2 linked regions of the Tribolium castaneum genome follow. The protein of the gene in region 1 interacts with the protein of each later gene in a biochemical or structural test. Links are inferred from orthologs where the notes say so. Each region holds a gene or a part of one and is shown on either strand. Other genes may lie near its edges.

What was found.
Region 2: the proteins of Drp1 (region 1) and Fis1 form a complex in vitro, tested with the Homo sapiens proteins (2 studies listed by BioGRID). The link is inferred for Tribolium castaneum from reciprocal best matches to the Homo sapiens genes DNM1L and FIS1.

Annotation. Positions count from the first base shown.
Region 1 is NC_087398.1:8,848,411-8,851,995, reverse strand, and holds part of Drp1 (dynamin-1-like protein), read left to right. Parts: coding exon 1-96; intron 97-1,821; coding exon 1,822-2,241; intron 2,242-2,290; coding exon 2,291-2,538; intron 2,539-2,588; coding exon 2,589-3,005; intron 3,006-3,054; coding exon 3,055-3,342; intron 3,343-3,394; coding exon 3,395-3,499; intron 3,500-3,585. UniProt on the Homo sapiens protein: Functions in mitochondrial and peroxisomal division.
Region 2 is NC_087398.1:2,702,359-2,705,259, reverse strand, and holds Fis1 (mitochondrial fission 1 protein), read left to right. Parts: upstream 1-1,132; 5' UTR 1,133-1,261; coding exon 1,262-1,306; intron 1,307-1,398; coding exon 1,399-1,657; intron 1,658-1,706; coding exon 1,707-1,858; 3' UTR 1,859-2,255; downstream 2,256-2,901. UniProt on the Homo sapiens protein: Involved in the fragmentation of the mitochondrial network and its perinuclear clustering. Plays a minor role in the recruitment and association of the fission mediator dynamin-related protein 1 (DNM1L) to the mitochondrial surface and mitochondrial fission.

The sequences.
Region 1 (3,585 bases):
TACCAAGAGGAACAGGGATTGTTACAAGAGTACCCCTTATTTTACAATTAGTTTATTGTCCTAAGGATGATAGGGAGCACAGAGCTGCAATCGATGGTAAGTAAACTGCTGTGATTCGTTGATTCCAAACGTTAAAATTTGAAAAAATGTAGTTTTGTTTAGCTATTTGTTTGTCAAAATGTAAATTACTTGGGTACGTTATCATAAAAAGTAATCTAATGATTCACACTACTGAATATGAAAGGAATCCAAGTATGGATTTCGTGGCCACTTCTACTATTTGTTGACCCGTTTTAACTGTGCTCATGCTTATTTATTTCATGCTTGTATTATAACATTCTTAAAATTAAAATCCACATACGGATATTTTATTGCATATTTTTAAAGTAGTACACTATTTTACTGTGATTTTAAAATTAAATTGGCAATATTGACTATCAAATGACGTCACACTTTTGTGGCCAATTGTTATTAGTTTCAGAGCACATAGAAAGTCACCTAAAACAATCTAATACCACCAATAACACTAGCCTGCGATGGTTGAGTTTTTATTATTTTTCCAACATTCAGCTGAAGTCGGAACAAATAGTGAAAAAGCCCATCAGTACTTCTTTCAATTCACAATTGAGATTATGAAGGAAAAAACACAAACATAATATTACGTTAAAACGTAAAAAACCGGAGACTCATAAGTTCGAAAAAAAAACAATAAATTTACCACAAACAATGGTTTATTAAACGTTAAACTTAACCATTTTTTTTCAAGTCACATCAAAGTTTGTAATAGATTTTGTTTAAAAAAATGTATACTCAAGCAGTGATTTTATTCGATCATATGTAGTACATACAAAAAATAACTGTTCGAGAAAAAATCCTCGAGTGATAAGAAATCTTTTGAAATTAGAATTCAAAAAAAAAAATTAATCATTTTGCTATTATTATTTATTGTTTTCCTTATTTTTTTAATTAAAAGTTTTGATCTAATTTACCAGTACATTATTGTTTCTAGAAATCTGTCCTAATTATCAAAAATCTCTACATTCTCTTGAACAATTTCTCTTTAATTTATGGATGATAGTTACAAGCTATTGTATAAAATTTTGTCTTCAGAACAATAGGTGAGTCGGGCAACAGATTTCTAAAATGGAAACAAAAAACAACTGTTACGGAATTAGACTTTTTTTTTAAAGAAAAAAGTTTCTGTTTTATTTTATTCCTGAGTGATTTTATTATCAATTTTTTAATCTAAGTAGTAGAAGTGCACTTCAGACTATGAGTATGATAACAATAAATCAATCAATTAATGAATTAATGGTAATAATAATAGTGATACACAACAATACCAATACGGATTGACAAATATAATTGAAAATAATGAAAATATTTTCTTTTCATGAATGACAATTGTTTCAAAAGAATATTTCCTATCAAAAAATTGTGATTTTTGTCATTTCCGAACTATGTAAATTTTACGAAAAATTTCTTTTTACATTTTTTTAATGTTAAGAACCTTTTACCTTAAAACTAGCATATGTTGATCCAAATTTCCAGTTTATTAACTATGATAGAACGGTAAATTTAATTACATTTTAGTTACAATTAATTATATTTATATTTTATTTTGTAAACTAAATTATTAATTAATCATAACAGTAGTGTTTTTGCTTTTTATAGCACAATAAATTCTAATCACAATTTTGATAGAGCGTAAAGAGTTATGTTTTGTTTTTCGTTTTATTTTATTACTAAAATTCACTTGAAAAAAAAGCACAATATCGAAAAATACCGTTTGTATTGTGTTTAAAACACAATGACTTTTAGGGACAATGGATGTGGAAGAGTGGGGCGTTTTTCTACATTGCAAAAGCAAAATTTTCAAAGACTTTGAAGAAATCCGTCAGGAAATCGAGAACGAGACCAACAAAATTGCTGGAAGTAACAAAGGCATTTGTGCCGAACCCATCAATTTGAAAATTTACTCTACAAAGGTTGTGAATTTAACTTTAGTGGATTTACCGGGCATTACCAAGGTACCAGTCGGAGACCAGCCTCCAGACATTGAACAACAAATTCGCGAATTAGTCCTAAAATACATCGCTAATCCAAATTCAATAATATTAGCTGTAGTAACGGCAAACACAGACATGGCGACTTCCGAAAGCTTAGCAATCGCGAAAGATGTTGATCCTGATGGTCGCAGAACATTGGCTGTCGTTACGAAACTTGACTTAATGGACGCAGGTTTTTATTTTGCTTTTCTTAATGATAACATTACGAAAAAAAATTCTAGGTACTGACGCCATTGATATTCTTTGCGGCCGAGTTATTCCAGTAAAATTAGGCATAATCGGTGTCGTAAATCGCTCACAACAAGATATTATGAACAACAAATCGATAAAAGAGGCCTTAAAAGACGAAGCGACATTTTTACAAAGCAAATATCCCACTTTAGCCACTCGCAACGGTACTCCCTACCTTGCCAAAACCTTAAATAGGCTTTTAATGCACCACATTAGAGACTGTTTACCTGACTTGAAGGTAAGTCTTGTACAAATTAGCTTGATTTGGTAAAGTAACAAGCGTTTCAGACTCGCGTGAACTTAATGATGTCCCAGTTCCAATCACTGCTTAACTCATACGGCGAAGATATTTCCGATAAGAGCAAAACTTTGCTCCAGATTATCACAAAATTCGCCTCAGCTTACTGCTCCACAATTGAAGGCACTGCCCGAAACATTGAAACGACTGAATTGTGTGGAGGGGCGAGAATTTGCTACATTTTTCACGAGACTTTCGGGAGGACTTTAGACTCGATCCACCCCTTGGCCGGTTTGACAAAAATGGATATTTTAACCGCCATTCGGAATGCAAATGGGCCTCGACCTGCCCTTTTCGTCCCGGAAGTTTCCTTCGAATTACTAGTCAAGAGGCAAATCCGACGTCTTGAAGAACCATCACTGCGTTGCGTTGAATTAATCCACGAAGAAATGCAACGTATTATACAAGTAATTAATAACGTTTTCCCCAAAGTTGTGCTTCAGTGTCCGTTTTTAGCATTGTGGAAGCGAAGTGCAGCAAGAAATGCTGCGGTTTCCCAAACTGTACGAAAAAATCGTAGATGTTGTAACACAGTTATTGCGGAGACGTCTTCCGACGACCAACCAAATGGTGGAAAATTTAGTGCAAATCGAATTGGCGTATATTAATACCAAACATCCCGATTTTTATAAAGAAATAGCAATGGTGCCATCGATGATTAAATCCGGGGACGGATCTCGTCCAAATCGACCAAAGAGTATGCTAATCAAACACCATAATACAGTGGCGGAGACTTCCGAGTTGGTATGTTTTAATGTTTTGTAAATTTTTGCACAATTTTAGTTGTTTTCTATAGATTGCACGTGGTGCTGTAGAAGCATCTGACCAAGCCGATTTCTTTAATTATCTCTTTCGAATATTGCCCGTGTCTAGTTATAATGACTTCATGAACGCTGTTCAGGTATATATTTTATTAGTTGCAAAACTAATACCAAATACGTGTGTGACGTTTTTCATCGCAAATCATAATCTCGCGAATTAAGTAAA
Region 2 (2,901 bases), about 6.1 Mb from region 1:
ATTCTAAATTTTAGACTGTAGAAGAGTATTTATTAATTTTTTATTGTGTGATCGACTATACAGATAAGAAATATTGCATTCCAAGAGCTGAGTGATTGTGACCGTTTACGCCAATAGGATTTCTTTCCAACACGTTCCCAAACGTAACATTTCCCGTTTTTTTCTCAAGTGGTCTAGTGCTGAACACAATTGATGAACTAGTCATAGTTAAATTATTATACCTAGAAAGAGTGAATGTTTTTGTAATTTTTGTGTGTAAAAACAAAGTGCATTTTATATTGTAAATAAACATAGTGTTTTGTACATATGACTTTAACCTTAACTATCAATATTTACAATAAATAAACTATTTCAGATCTTTATTTGCGTTTTTTATTTCTTTTAGTCATATCTGGATGTCTTTATATCAATAAAGAGCAACGCAAGAATTTAGTTCAAATTAAGTTCAGTTCTATTGTGCAAGAAAAACTAATTTCTTTCAAACACATTACCCAAGCCATACCTAAGACTATAAAATTCTATAAATAATTTGAAATATGTACTTGTAATCATTAACTTTTGTTTTACGTGCAGCATTAAAAAGTTATAAACCAACGAATGGATGGAAACACTTAATTGTAAATGTCGTAACATAAATGACCTCGCCACATGAAAAAAACATGGTGTGAATCACTTTACATGAGTTTAGCATTTGGCTTAGCCGTGCTATAATAATCCTTCGCAATTAACTGAAGTGTTAATTAAATTAGCTAATTCATCTTAACGTCTGTTTGTGTAAGCACTTGGCACATCTGCAGAATCAATTCTATTGAATTTCGCCTTTTACTGCGAGCAGTTTTGTGTTTTTTTGCAGCCCTAACATTTTTTTAATAAATAATACTCATTTTTTAATTTGTTGATCGATAAAAATAAAGGTTTCAGTGTTTTTCAAATTGGAGAACTGCACCCTATATTTAGTTTAGCATCCGGTTGGAGAGATGACGCTTGAAGGGTTGTTTTCTGTTTATCCAAACCCAGTGAAAGAACTCAACTGTAGGGTTGTTTAATAATTAATAAGCTTGAAATAAAATCTTCAATTCAAAAAGAGTATTGTTGGTTGCGGGTTCGCGTTACAGTTTCCTGTCGTGACAGCTGTGAGTGTTGGGATCGCATTTAGAGGTCACTGAAGTATAAATATTGAAGTTTTCACGTTGTCATCAAATGCGATTTTCATTCGACATTCACTGTTTTTCTTGAGGAAAATCCGTAAGTGAGGGTGAACATGGCAGGAGTTTTGACTGAAACGGTGGAACCCAGCGACCTAAAGGTGAGCGCCTTCGGAACCGCACCAAGTGCGCCATTCGCTCTGTCAACTTATCAATGAGTCATAATTGTTAATAAACACAAGGATAATTGCAGAAATTCGAGAAAATTTACCACGAACAGCTGTACAAAAACGACGTAACGCCTAAAGCTCAGTTCGAATACGCTTGGTGTTTGGTCAGGAGCAAGTATCCTGCCGACATACAGAAAGGGATAATTCTGCTGGAGGACTTGTACAAGACACACGAAGAGGGCCAACGGGACTATCTGTATTATTTAGCAATTGGGACGGCGAGGTTGAAGGAGTACACCAAAGCTCTCAATTATGTTAGGTCATTTTTGTTAATTGAGCCAGGTTTGCACTTTGGAATGTTTATGTAAGGTTTGGAACTTGGCTGTTTTAGGTAATCAGCAAGTCATTAGTTTACAACAAACGATTAAGAAGAAAATGGAAAAAGAGGGCTTGGTGGGAATGGCTATGGCTGGGGGGGTTGTTCTTGCTGTGGGTGCCATAGTTGGCGTGGGAATGGCTATAGCTAGCAAAGTTAAGTCTTAGTGCTTCCCACATATCAAATGTGATAGTGTTACCATTTTTACTTGTACCAAATTGTATTTTTTGTGTTTGTTTCGTGATTACATGAGTCTGTGTTATCACTTGTTTTATTAATTGGCATTTAATTTTTGGTTCAAACTTGGATAAATTAAATGTAACACTCGAAAAGGCACACGCTATTTTTATAAGGACTTTTTCATTTCAAATTATTTGTGTATTTGTGTAATTTAAAACAAGAAGTCAATAGGTGAAGAATGTATATTTTGCTCATTACTTCTTGTGTAGACTGTCACCATTATGCAAGCTGTGAATAGGTTGTCATTGATTTTTTAAGTTTAGTTTAATTTCTTAGTCATAAATCACTGTATATTGCTAAATAAATAATAAAGTTTTATCTAAATATTGTGTTTTTCTAAAGAAAATCTAAAATATGCTGAAATTATCTTCACCACAATACACTTGTATATTTGGTTGCATAGCTGTCAAACCAAGCTTTGCATTGATTTGAAATATCTATACAAACACTTTTTATTACCATTTTGATCTTAAATCTGAATTGACCAAATGTCTATTTTTTTCATTTACAATCCTATGGTATACTTGCGTTTACTTACACCAATTATTTCGAATTCATCGTAACTTTTTACCTTATGGAGAACAGAAAAGGAAAAAACAGCTTCAACAAACTATTTGAGAAAAAAATTGTAACAAAAAATCGACCAATAAATCACCATGTTAAGTATGTAAGTACTCGTATACAGTTTAGAGCTAAAATATCCAAAACTATAATTTTTAAAAATTATTTTTTTCATGAGAAAAGTCGGAAATATGTCTCCTGTAAAATATGGATATTTTTCACTACAGCTATGTCACTAATTTATCTGAGTCAGTAGCCTGGATTTTTTAAATTTTTGAGATTTTTTGGCCACAAGGACAAGCACATTTTTAAACAACCTATATCTTACTCGTAAAGTAACTTTCCTAATGTGAAAACACGTAATAAATTTCACTTTCCCGATTTATTTTTTCTTGTATTAGATCCGTAA